2 linked regions of the Arabidopsis thaliana genome follow. The protein of the gene in region 1 purifies or fractionates together with the protein of each later gene. This does not show direct contact. Each region holds a gene or a part of one and is shown in the gene's direction. Other genes may lie near its edges.

Evidence for each region.
Region 2: the proteins of EFR (region 1) and RBOHD purify together in Arabidopsis thaliana (affinity purification with western blotting; one study listed by BioGRID). This does not show direct contact.

What each region holds. Positions count from the first base shown.
Region 1 is NC_003076.8:6,919,608-6,926,424, forward strand, and holds EFR (EF-TU receptor), read left to right. Parts: upstream 1-1,901; 5' UTR 1,902-2,889; coding exon 2,890-5,590; intron 5,591-5,677; coding exon 5,678-6,072; 3' UTR 6,073-6,294; downstream 6,295-6,817. Other genes in the region: HDK (myosin), read right to left, coding at 24-122, 220-513.
Region 2 is NC_003076.8:19,395,385-19,402,810, forward strand, and holds RBOHD (respiratory burst oxidase homologue D), read left to right. Parts: upstream 1-1,656; 5' UTR 1,657-2,200; coding exon 2,201-2,828; intron 2,829-2,920; coding exon 2,921-3,083; intron 3,084-3,276; coding exon 3,277-3,325; intron 3,326-3,670; coding exon 3,671-3,784; intron 3,785-4,225; coding exon 4,226-5,035; intron 5,036-5,133; coding exon 5,134-5,229; intron 5,230-5,376; coding exon 5,377-6,172; intron 6,173-6,274; coding exon 6,275-6,384; 3' UTR 6,385-6,677; downstream 6,678-7,426. UniProt on the Arabidopsis thaliana protein: Calcium-dependent NADPH oxidase that generates superoxide.

The sequences.
Region 1 (6,817 bases):
CCAGTGTATGGAAATGAACTTACTCTCTGTCGCGTTTCTAGTTGTAAACGCAATGTTAATTCCTCAACACGCTTTTCAAGTTTGTCTTTCGCCTCTCTAAGGGCTCCTGTGTCTCGTGCGGCCTGATTCAGTTAGTTGTAAAGGTAAGAAACCTGATTCGTCTTATGAAGTTGTGAAAATTTAGCAGAACAGTTTTACTAAACCAAAAAAAGACTGAACCATCTTAAGTGACATATTCAAATATTCATTGAACCTTTGTACCGATTCCTGAAGCTGATCTAATTTTCTGGTAACAGTTTCAAGCTCTGTTGCCAGCTCCAAATTTCTAGCCTCTGCCTCTGATAAAGCTTTTCTCAAGTCTTTTGCTGCTTCTTGTTCAGAATGAAGCCAAGTCTGTATAAACATCAAACAAAAGAAAAAAATTAAGATTTGAATAAAGTCAAACACGATATAAAGGCACAACCGAAATTCAGGTTTTGGTTCCCGTACAAGTAGAACCATGTCCTGATGCATATCTAGACGATTAAGTAATTGAGCATGTAAAAGCAGAAAAGACAAACAAGGTTTCTCTCAAGGATACAACTTTTATATAAACTCTCCCTCACGTTCGATGGAGTTCATTTTCTTAACGGTTGCGACTTGAGAGATTCTTTTTCTTATACAGTTTCGTTATTAGTGTATATTAATTATTTTTAAGTGCATTACTTAATTAATCTATTTCAATAGAGAATTTCCCACTTGGCCTCTAAACTTACAAAGTCTTTATCTAATTGGTCACTGTCTCAAGCGAAACCGTTGATTATTTCTCTTTAAGTGAATGAAATCATTGACCTTAGGTCAGTAGGAAAAATATATCCGCAAGTTGATGATTATACAATTAATTAACATTTCCAAAAATCTCTGATCTGTCTTTGATCCGTAGTGAACCGTAAAGATTTAACCTTCATTCCACTCATTGGTGAACAAATCAAATACTTTTGTTGAACCGATGATTATTCTCATAGTTACTTTCTAATATCAGTTTATTTGTAAAATTACATACTTTTGAACATCAATTGGTTTGTGGGTTAAACAATTGATGGAAAACAATGAGGATGCTTGGACAGAGTTAAGTCAAGTTGGGAAGATCCAAAAAAAGAGTGGAAAGTTAAGGAACTGTAGTACTCAAACAAAAAACTAAGTGGACTAATGATGAAAAGAGACTCTAAAATTCATTTCCAAAGCTGTAGGTGTTCAATGTTCACCTCATGGAAAACATAATGATCTAAGGGACGGATTTGACTGAGTAAATACCGGACAGAGTTCTCTTGTTAGTTTTTCTAAGGTCATTTCTGCTTTTCACGAATGACCTGAACAGAGAGCCAAAACAATGTAAGCTTATAAGTATTGGGAACATAAAAAGATTGGCATAGCATCAACTAAGAATCATACCAGAAAAGCAACAGCCTGCCTGATATGGTCCAACTTATCCCAAGCTAAGCCAGCATACTGTAAGAGATTTAAACCGTAAGGTCATTTTTTCGGGTGAAAATGTCGAATAGGCAAAGGCGTGTGACGAGAACTTGTGGCTTACTTCATCGGTAGCTTCTACACACCATTTTTTTTAGTTCAGCCTGACCTGCTTTAACGTGGTCCCCATTTCTTGGTGTGCAAGATTCACGACATTGAAGAAAACTGCACAAGTTTATTACAGAGAAATCTTTACGTCAAAATTGGATTGAGAGATACTAAAATAAGTAATTACTAGTGAGCATGCCTGTTGAGAAGATGAAGATTGATGAAGGCAAATATTTGTGTGAATACTTTTCTGACTAAGAATGGTGGAACCTGCATCATGTAAACATAGAATATAATCACAATTTTTATTTTGAGAAGCCATTAGAATTGAACAATGCATGGGTTTTTGTTTATTCAAAGATGGGATTTTATTAAGATTGACTATATCATACAAAGGCTTAAACAAAAGCCCTAACTTTAGATTTACAAAAGCCCAAGAAAGGCCCATCAAATAACTAACTTTTGCAGAAGCAAATCTATCTGAACTTCATCCATGGATACGTTTCCAACAATACATGGGCTTGTCACTTATAATCGTGGCTTGTGTCTTCAAATTATAAGGTCACATAACAAAACTACATGCAGTCTATTGTTTTTCTCCTTCGTCGACGAACTACTTTTGCCGTTTAATAGATCATAAACACCACACATTTCTACCGTCACAGTGACAACACTTCCCAATTATTCTGATTATGGCGCAGGGGATTCGCCGGAAGATCCAATCTGTGCTGATTTTGCAAGAATCGATGGGCTTCCTCAAATTATCGGGCGCTTTTTACGACACTGCAATTGATCGAAACCTTCGCAAAAAATCGTAAAGTAAAAATCCTCTTTTTATTTTTATTTAAGACCCTTTAGTAGTTTATCAACAAGTAAAGATTGCATTTTTTTTGGTACATGTAATTTGTTTCAGAATTTATAAACAAGAATTTCTATCAATGTCTTTGAATTAACTTTGATAAATTCAAACTTTCTGATGGATGGTTGTCAATACAAGTTTCAGAAGAAGATTGAAACCAAAATGACTAGACAAGACGTTTGGTGTATGTCGACCAATGTGTTCTGTTTTGGGTAGCACTTTGCCTTAACTCTGTTTACACACACACGTTTATGTGTTTTGACTGTTGAAAAAAAAACGAAAGATATTTCAAAAGTCTACGCAGTACACAATTTGTTTGTTTGTGACCATTTGCAATGATTTTGGACCGCATTTAATTGCCCCACGACTGTAATGGGGATCACAGTTTGGATTTTGCTTCTTGTTTACCTTAAACTTCCTTTCATTTTAATGTTGAAGCAGAAGAACCTTTCTTTTATCTTTTTATAATCGACATGAAGCTGTCCTTTTCACTTGTTTTCAATGCTCTCACGTTGCTTCTTCAAGTTTGCATCTTTGCTCAAGCCAGGTTTTCTAATGAGACTGATATGCAAGCTTTGCTTGAGTTCAAGTCTCAAGTTTCTGAAAACAACAAGAGAGAGGTCTTGGCTTCATGGAATCACTCCTCCCCATTTTGTAATTGGATTGGAGTCACATGTGGCCGCAGGAGAGAAAGAGTTATAAGTTTGAACCTTGGAGGATTCAAGTTAACCGGTGTGATCTCACCCTCCATTGGTAATCTCTCCTTTCTTAGATTACTTAATCTTGCAGACAACTCTTTTGGAAGTACCATCCCTCAAAAGGTGGGAAGGCTATTTAGGCTTCAGTACTTGAACATGAGCTATAATCTTCTCGAAGGAAGGATTCCGTCTAGTCTTTCTAACTGCTCTAGACTGTCGACCGTTGATTTATCGTCAAACCATCTTGGACATGGTGTTCCTTCAGAACTAGGTTCACTTTCTAAGCTTGCCATTCTGGATCTTAGCAAAAACAACCTTACTGGAAATTTTCCTGCATCTTTAGGAAACTTGACGTCACTTCAGAAGCTTGACTTTGCATATAACCAGATGAGAGGTGAGATTCCAGACGAAGTAGCTAGATTGACTCAAATGGTGTTTTTCCAAATAGCACTGAATAGTTTTTCAGGTGGTTTTCCTCCTGCATTGTACAACATCTCCTCTCTTGAGTCTCTATCTCTAGCTGACAATAGCTTTTCGGGTAATCTTAGGGCTGATTTTGGTTATCTTCTACCAAATCTAAGAAGACTTCTTTTGGGAACAAATCAGTTCACTGGAGCTATTCCCAAAACACTTGCCAATATCTCAAGCCTTGAAAGGTTTGATATCTCATCTAATTACCTGTCTGGTAGTATCCCTTTGAGCTTTGGAAAGTTACGTAATCTGTGGTGGTTAGGGATTCGTAATAACTCTCTTGGAAATAACTCGTCCAGTGGTCTTGAATTTATTGGGGCTGTGGCGAACTGCACTCAATTAGAGTACTTAGATGTTGGTTACAATAGACTTGGAGGTGAGCTTCCTGCTTCTATAGCCAATCTGTCCACTACATTGACTAGTCTGTTCCTTGGACAAAATCTTATCTCTGGAACCATTCCTCATGACATCGGGAATCTTGTAAGCCTGCAAGAACTCAGCTTAGAAACAAATATGTTGAGTGGAGAACTTCCCGTCTCTTTCGGGAAGCTTTTGAACTTGCAGGTTGTGGATCTGTATTCAAATGCAATATCGGGGGAAATACCATCTTATTTTGGCAACATGACTCGGTTGCAGAAGCTCCATTTGAATAGCAATAGTTTCCACGGAAGAATCCCTCAGAGTCTTGGACGTTGTCGATACTTGCTAGACCTGTGGATGGATACAAATAGGTTGAATGGGACTATACCTCAGGAAATACTGCAAATTCCATCCCTCGCTTACATAGATTTGTCAAACAATTTCTTGACAGGCCATTTTCCAGAAGAAGTTGGAAAGTTAGAACTTCTTGTTGGACTAGGTGCTTCGTACAACAAATTATCAGGAAAGATGCCACAAGCTATAGGGGGTTGTCTTTCGATGGAATTTCTCTTTATGCAAGGAAATTCGTTTGACGGAGCCATTCCAGATATAAGCCGGTTGGTAAGCCTAAAGAATGTTGACTTCTCCAACAACAATCTCTCTGGCCGGATACCTCGATATCTGGCCAGTCTTCCTTCGCTGCGAAATCTGAATCTTTCTATGAACAAGTTTGAGGGAAGGGTGCCAACAACAGGAGTGTTTCGAAATGCTACAGCAGTTTCTGTTTTTGGTAACACAAATATTTGCGGAGGCGTCCGAGAAATGCAACTAAAGCCATGCATTGTACAGGCATCTCCAAGGAAGAGAAAGCCTCTGTCAGTTAGAAAGAAAGTTGTCAGTGGTATTTGTATAGGTATAGCTTCGCTTTTGTTAATCATAATTGTGGCTTCTCTGTGTTGGTTCATGAAGAGGAAAAAGAAAAACAATGCCAGTGATGGTAACCCATCTGATTCTACTACTTTGGGGATGTTCCATGAGAAGGTAAGTTATGAAGAGCTTCATAGTGCAACAAGTCGCTTCTCTTCAACCAATTTGATTGGTTCAGGCAATTTCGGTAATGTGTTTAAAGGATTGCTTGGCCCTGAGAATAAACTCGTCGCGGTTAAAGTTTTGAACCTCCTAAAGCATGGAGCGACGAAAAGCTTTATGGCGGAATGTGAAACCTTCAAGGGTATACGACATCGTAACCTTGTAAAACTGATAACGGTTTGTTCAAGCCTTGATTCCGAGGGAAATGATTTCAGAGCTCTGGTCTATGAGTTCATGCCAAAAGGAAGTCTGGATATGTGGCTGCAGCTAGAAGATCTGGAAAGGGTAAACGATCACTCGAGATCTTTAACACCCGCAGAGAAACTCAACATAGCAATAGATGTGGCTTCAGCTTTGGAGTATCTGCACGTTCATTGTCATGACCCTGTAGCTCACTGTGATATTAAGCCAAGCAACATTCTTCTAGACGATGATCTGACTGCTCATGTTAGTGACTTTGGTTTGGCTCAGCTCCTCTATAAATACGATCGAGAATCCTTTCTAAACCAGTTTAGTTCTGCTGGTGTCAGAGGCACCATTGGCTATGCCGCGCCAGGTTAATAAACATCTATATGCAAAAAGTATTGTTTAACAAAAGAGTTATCCAACCTCATTGTGTGTTGTTTCTTTGAAATATGTGCAGAGTATGGAATGGGAGGCCAACCATCAATACAAGGAGATGTGTACAGCTTCGGAATTCTACTTTTGGAGATGTTTAGTGGAAAGAAACCAACAGATGAATCATTTGCAGGCGATTATAACCTCCACAGCTACACAAAGTCTATATTATCGGGTTGCACGAGCAGTGGAGGCAGCAACGCCATTGATGAGGGGTTGAGACTGGTTTTGCAGGTGGGGATAAAGTGTTCTGAAGAATATCCGAGGGATAGGATGAGAACGGATGAAGCAGTACGAGAATTAATCTCAATAAGATCTAAGTTCTTCAGTTCCAAGACGACTATTACAGAGAGTCCTCGAGATGCTCCGCAAAGTTCTCCTCAGGAATGGATGTTAAATACGGACATGCATACTATGTAGACCCTTCTCAACTACTTATGGGGACACAGTAAAAGTGTATTTGCGTGTGCATCATCGAAACAGAACAAATGTTGGGAGGAGGAGAGACTACTAGTTATAATAAGAGAATAAATTAAAATCTATCTCTGCTGTAGCCTTTTTTTTTTTGTTGTGGGTGAAAATGATTATGATCACATATATATGGTCGTTGAATATCCTTTTTCATTTCACTTTTGATACACGTTAAAGTTCTCTGTGTCCATAAAGATTGGAGAAACCTTGTTTGAAAATGTTCACTAGTAGCAAAACTTACTTAACAAAATTCACTCATTAGAAGACAAATCACATTAATTAACACCGAGAAAAATGTTATTTTATACCTGAACTTTCAAAAAGTGGCCAAATTAACCGTGAATTTTTGAAATGATCGTTTTATACCTCAACAAAAAGTTGACTTCTAATTTAACCTATAAGTTATCGTTGACCCGGCCAAATCGACTCACCATTAACACTTCTTAACAGCTCTCCTAACAGCGTAACTAACAACTGTTTTTGTCCTTAAACCAACAATAACGGCTGTTAGGCCATGTTTTGTAACGGCTGTTAGGAACGCTGTTAAGGAGTGTTAACGGTGAGTATATTTGGCCGGGTCAACGACAAATTATAGGTCAAATTAGAAGTCAACGATAAATTATAGGTTAAATTAGAAGTCAACTTTTTGTTGAGGTATAAAACGACCATTTCAAAAGTTCACGGTTAATTTGGC
Region 2 (7,426 bases), about 12 Mb from region 1:
GCCGTTATTAACAGTGATCATTTTTTTCGTTAAAGAAATTTAACATTCAAAAAAGATAAAGAATGATCACCAATAAGCGTCATGATCTTCCGTATGGTGATGATAAACATCGTTTGCAGTTTTGTTGTATAGTACAACGTATATGTAGCCGTAACGTGTGAATAGTGTATGGTTAGGGTCATTTTATTTGTGAACTACCACAATTTTGATAGCAGTGGAGATAAGTCAAAGGTTCGTCTTCTAATTAATTAACAGCGATTATTAGACTATCTAACTTTTCTTCTTTTCTTATTTTGATAATAACTATATATCTTCTTTAGCCACCTTACTTTCTCATCGGGTTCTATTTAAATAGGGACAAAGAAAACAAACCATCGATTTGTACTATGTGCTCAATTATATCATATGTTTTGTCTCCATCTATGTATCTATTTCTCTTTTCCATTTGGTAAATTATTTAAGACCCTTAAACTGACTTTTCTCGTGGGCGGCGTCGAAGTTTTGGTTAACAGACAAAACATCTGTTCATGATGCCTGCATAACTCTATGTTTTTATACTACTCATTTGCCCTCTATTTCATGCTACTCTTAAAAATAGCTAAATAAAAATACTTCAATATTAGAAAAAAAATCTTCTTGATGTCAAAAATACACTTTAGATATCCCCTCTAGTTCTTGTGATGCTAATATATTACAAAATTGTTTATATATATAGAAATATTACCTCTAGCAATACAAAAATCTTGTTATATCAATTAAATATAACACTATCCGACTAGTGTTTACTAAAATAACACATAATTTTTAATTATGATCTTTGAATTTTAGTTTATGTATTACGCTTTATAATTTTGTTATCAAAAACTATAAAAGCTCAAAAGTGAGCATCTATACCCTAATTCCGTTTTTATGCATACACTTAGGTTTATTTTTATTACGAGAATCTGTGTTTAGTATATATAAAATAGAGTTTATGAATGACTAAGTTAAATACTTCAATACTAATTAAAGTAAGTCGTATTGATGCAGACAATATAAACTTTAGATATCTCCGCTAGTTTGTATAATGCTAATAGATTCAAATTGTCTTTATGTAGAGGAATTACCTCAAATAACATAAAATTTTCATTTTATTAATTAAATCTCATTTTGTCATTTCAAAAGTCATTTTAATTACTGTGTTATTTGTCTAAAGTATACTCCAAACAAGAAACCAAAGTAGAAGGTCAGTGCCCAAGAGACAAATAAACTTAAGCATGTCCACTCTTTTTAGCGATCGGATCGCTTATCTGTTCTTATCCATTATGGAACATGAACGATGTTCCTTTAAGACTACCACATTCAAACGAAAAATAAGTCATCGATGATAGACTGGATAGTTATAGTTTGATGATCTAGCTAATTGACTTTCATATTTACATAAAACAGAAATGTGTTTTTATCAAAAAAGAAAAAAGAAAAAACAGAAAATGAACAATACATCTCACATGGAGTTTGTACAAGAATCCATAATAATTTTTTGTTCGGTACAGTAGGTTAGATATACATTTGAATACAGTTTACAAGCCAAATGTTAGAAGCAACATATTTATATAGTATCATCAATATACGATCCAAAATGAATTATAGATTGACTTATGGAAAAGTTAGATACTATATGCATGATTGCCAAATACATTGAAAAATAACAATTTAAGTTCTTCAAACAAAAGTTTATAAATGACTCGGTGTTTGACATAACTCGGGGTTGTTTTTCTTTGTTAATTCACACACGGGGTTGGTGTATAAATGACTTCGGTGTTTGAAATGTATGACACGGTATAAATAAAAAAGGTAAGGAAGAAATGAAGAATAGAAGAAGAACAAAAAAAAAAGGAAATTAAAAAAAAGTCAAAATAAATGGTCAGTAAAGGATTTTGACCAGACCGGAGCGGTCCATCCATAGTTTCCCACTACCTTCCCTGATTTAGCACAGAAGAATGGCAATTTGCATGCCATTTATTTCATCTATTCCTCCTTCACTCTATAAATATATTTTAAACAAAATCAATTTCTTCCATACACAAAAATCAAACACCTTTTGAGAGCGGTTATTTTTTCTCTATCAACTAATACAGTAACCTTACGGGTGTTTATTTGTATAGATCTCTGTGGTTTTCTTGGCCAAATCTAGTGAGATCTTTTTGGTTTCTCGAATTCGATGAAAATGAGACGAGGCAATTCAAGTAACGACCATGAACTTGGGATTCTACGAGGAGCTAACTCGGACACCAACTCGGACACGGAGAGCATCGCTAGCGACCGTGGTGCCTTTAGCGGTCCGCTTGGCCGGCCTAAACGTGCGTCCAAGAAAAACGCAAGATTCGCCGACGATCTTCCCAAGAGAAGCAATAGTGTTGCTGGCGGCCGTGGTGATGACGATGAGTACGTGGAGATCACGCTAGACATCAGGGACGACTCGGTGGCCGTCCATAGTGTCCAACAAGCAGCTGGAGGTGGAGGCCACCTGGAGGACCCGGAGCTAGCCCTTCTTACGAAGAAGACTCTCGAGAGCAGCCTCAACAACACCACCTCCTTATCTTTCTTCCGAAGCACCTCCTCACGCATCAAGAACGCCTCCCGCGAGCTCCGCCGCGTGTTCTCTAGACGTCCCTCCCCGGCCGTGCGGCGGTTTGACCGCACGAGCTCCGCGGCCATCCACGCACTCAAAGGTCTCAAGTTCATTGCCACCAAGACGGCCGCATGGCCGGCCGTCGACCAACGTTTCGATAAACTCTCCGCTGATTCCAACGGCCTCTTACTCTCTGCCAAGTTTTGGGAATGCTTAGGTAAGTAAATCACTTCTTACTAAGCAATTCTATTAGTACTATATGTTTCCATTTTTGTGTTAGTCTCATTTTTGTTTTGTTTTTTACTCTAGGAATGAATAAGGAATCTAAAGACTTCGCTGACCAGCTCTTTAGAGCATTAGCTCGCCGGAATAACGTCTCCGGCGATGCAATCACAAAGGAACAGCTTAGGATATTCTGGGAACAGATCTCAGACGAAAGCTTTGATGCCAAACTCCAAGTCTTTTTTGACATGTAAGCTTTTTTTTACATATCTTCACCTAACCCACAATAAATATATAACGCGTAATCACTATTTGTCGTTTAATATTGACTCTTAATGAAAATTAAACGGTCATCAGAATTTAAGGACCAAAAGTAGTAATATTAATCATTTGTGGAGTTTTGGTGGATTTGTAACTAATATATGACATCACTGTTTGGTCAGGGTGGACAAAGATGAAGATGGGCGAGTAACAGAAGAAGAGGTGGCTGAGGTGAGAAAACACACACACCACTCAATAATTATCTTTTTCAAATATTTTATTATATTTATACATTTTTTTTATCTTATATTTATTCATATTCCTGGTTGAATTTTTTTTCTCTTATTTTATACGTTATTCTTGGTTGATTATTTTGACAATTTTGTCCACGCGCAAATCCCCACTGACTTTATCTGCTGACGTTTACTATTAACATCATCAATATATTAACTTCATGTGAACACGACAAAATGGTAATAGATAGATAGAGTAGTAGTCTTTGTTACTTTAGCTTAGGTTATTAATGTTTCAAATACTTTAGCTTTTGTTTTCTAATTTGTTGGTAATTTATTGCAGATTATTAGTCTTAGTGCTTCTGCAAACAAGCTCTCAAATATTCAAAAGCAAGCCAAAGAATATGCGGCACTGATAATGGAAGAGTTGGACCCAGACAATGCTGGGTTTATTATGGTACGTGTGGTCCACTTTCACCCACTCAATCACACTAATGGTATTATGTACGTCGTAAATTTAACCACTCTTAAAATACTAGAAAAAACGTGGAAAAACATAACGTTCTAGAAGTCTTTAGTGGTCAAAATTGGGTCACCATGATGTTTTTTAATTTCCAACTTATTGGGCCATCTTGAACTTTTTACCAAACCAATCAACAAAATCTCGACAATGGGTGGTTAGTGGTTACGATATGAAGAAATGACCAATAAAATTGTAAAATATATGAACTAACACTATAATCCAAGCTTAGAAAGTCTTAGGCGGCTTCCGATAGTATATTGTTTTTTAATTATTGGAGAAACCTATGAAAAGTGTTTTTAAGAAAAACAGTTTGGAACATTAATGTTTTATTGTAACGTTTTAGTTAATTATATGATATGGACATTGGTGAAACAGATCGAAAACTTGGAAATGTTGCTATTACAAGCACCAAACCAGTCGGTGCGGATGGGAGACAGCAGGATACTTAGTCAGATGTTAAGTCAGAAGCTTAGACCGGCAAAAGAGAGCAACCCTTTAGTGAGATGGTCGGAGAAAATCAAATATTTCATACTTGACAATTGGCAGAGACTATGGATAATGATGTTATGGCTTGGCATCTGTGGTGGCCTCTTTACTTATAAATTCATTCAGTACAAGAACAAAGCTGCCTATGGTGTCATGGGTTATTGCGTTTGTGTCGCCAAAGGAGGCGCCGAGACTCTCAAATTCAACATGGCTCTCATATTGTTGCCTGTTTGTCGAAACACCATCACTTGGCTTAGGAACAAGACTAAGCTTGGTACTGTCGTTCCTTTTGATGATAGTCTTAACTTCCACAAGGTTATTGCAAGCGGGATAGTCGTCGGTGTTTTACTCCATGCGGGTGCCCATTTAACGTGTGATTTTCCACGTTTAATTGCCGCGGATGAGGACACCTATGAGCCGATGGAAAAATACTTTGGGGATCAACCGACTAGCTACTGGTGGTTTGTGAAAGGAGTGGAAGGATGGACTGGCATTGTGATGGTTGTGCTAATGGCTATAGCCTTTACACTCGCGACGCCTTGGTTCCGACGTAACAAGCTTAACTTACCTAACTTCCTCAAGAAGCTTACCGGTTTCAACGCCTTTTGGTACACCCACCATTTGTTCATCATTGTTTATGCTCTTCTCATTGTCCATGGTATCAAGCTCTACCTCACAAAGATTTGGTATCAGAAAACGGTACTCTCTTCAAACCTCATTTTATCTGTTTTAATTTCTTATTTTCTTTCCTTTTTCCGGTTAATAACATTTATTACCTGTTTGTATGATTCTTGTAGACATGGATGTATCTTGCTGTACCCATCCTTCTATATGCATCGGAGAGGCTGCTCCGTGCTTTCAGATCAAGCATCAAACCGGTTAAGATGATCAAGGTCAGATATATTTCTATTTATCTCTTGAAAACCTTATGTTTCAAGAAATATTTCAACTAATACTTTTAAACCATCTTATTTTATAGTTCTTTTTGATAAAAGTTTGAAAATTGCCTTTGAACTTAATCTATATATATGTAACAACAGGTGGCTGTTTACCCCGGGAACGTGTTGTCTCTACACATGACGAAGCCACAAGGATTCAAATACAAAAGTGGACAGTTCATGTTGGTGAACTGCCGAGCCGTATCTCCATTCGAATGGCATCCTTTCTCAATCACATCAGCTCCCGGAGACGATTACCTGAGCGTACATATCCGCACTCTCGGTGACTGGACACGTAAGCTCAGGACCGTTTTCTCCGAGGTTTGCAAACCTCCTACCGCCGGTAAAAGCGGTCTTCTCCGAGCAGACGGAGGAGATGGAAACCTCCCGTTCCCGAAGGTCCTTATCGACGGTCCATACGGTGCTCCCGCACAAGACTACAAGAAATACGACGTGGTACTCCTCGTAGGTCTCGGCATTGGAGCCACGCCTATGATCAGTATCCTTAAGGACATCATCAACAACATGAAAGGTCCTGACCGCGACAGCGACATTGAGAACAATAACAGTAACAACAATAGTAAAGGGTTTAAGACAAGGAAAGCTTATTTCTACTGGGTGACTAGGGAACAAGGATCATTCGAGTGGTTCAAGGGAATAATGGACGAGATTTCGGAGTTAGACGAGGAAGGAATCATCGAGCTTCACAATTATTGCACGAGTGTGTACGAGGAAGGTGATGCAAGAGTGGCTCTCATTGCCATGCTTCAGTCGTTGCAACACGCTAAGAACGGTGTGGATGTTGTGTCGGGTACACGTGTCAAGTCCCACTTCGCTAAACCTAACTGGAGACAAGTCTACAAGAAGATCGCTGTTCAACATCCCGGCAAAAGAATAGGTAACTAATCTCGACCGTTAATCTCGTTATGTACGTGATGTTGTATAATAATTAATAAAGTGATGAATTTAGACTAAATACTAATATGAATTTTGATTGCAGGAGTCTTCTACTGTGGAATGCCAGGAATGATAAAGGAATTAAAAAATCTAGCTTTGGATTTTTCTCGAAAGACAACTACCAAGTTTGACTTCCACAAAGAGAACTTCTAGATTAATTATATACGTTGTAGAAAAATAAAACAAGAAACAACTATACAAATAAATATTTATTTTAAATTCTTTTCATTTTTATGTAAAATTATCTGAGTTATCTTTTTTTGTTCTTCTATATCCCTACCGTTTTGTTGGTTACTTTTTCACTACTTAGTTTAATGCCAAATTAAGTATAAGATAGTAGAAGTTTATATAGTTACAGCTTTGGTGTTGTAAACATGTAATCATGGAGTTATCTGTACTATTATTTTGTACTTATATTCGAATATTAACAACTAAAGATAGTTTTGATATTCAATACCCATTACTCATTTAACATAATGAATAGAGATATCAACATTAGATACGTCTTGATTATTTGCTCACCAATGCATTTGCGTGTTTAACTTGTTTATATGTTATTAATAGTGTTCTTTTAGTTAAAATGACAAATAATTTCTTAACTCAAAAGCATCTTATATCACAACTCTAGCTAGATTAGTTTAGCTTTTCATAAGTCTTCTTGCGTTTACGTCTTTATTTATGGGTTGATACCCTATTCACTACTTTAATTTGCCTTGCACTTGGGATAGTTTAAAAGACTTTAAAATTATGCAGCTAGAATATAATCAAAACTTGATATAAGTATCAAAATAATTAAATACAATTGCTATCGATAATAATCAGAAACAATCGTTATGAATGGTTAAGTTTGTTTCCTTAAAATGGTTACGAATGATTAATTTTGTTCCTTAGGTAAACTAAAAGTTCAAAAACAAATCCAACCTACTACAATCTAAGAAAACTGACAAAGTTTATGGTTGATTACAGAATAGGTCGCTTGAGCGTCAAATTAAGATAAAGAAGGAGACTTATGTAGAGCCGGCCCTTGGGCCAACCAGGCGAAGCATAGGTTTGCAGCTGCTAATAATATAATTTGAGTTTGGCTTTTTTCTAGAAAACTTTCTTTAAGTCTAGTGGTTCAATTATGGTGGGTACATCATCAGTTCATGGGTTTGACTTTTGAGACAAGTGAGACCGAATTTTTTTGTTTTTTCAA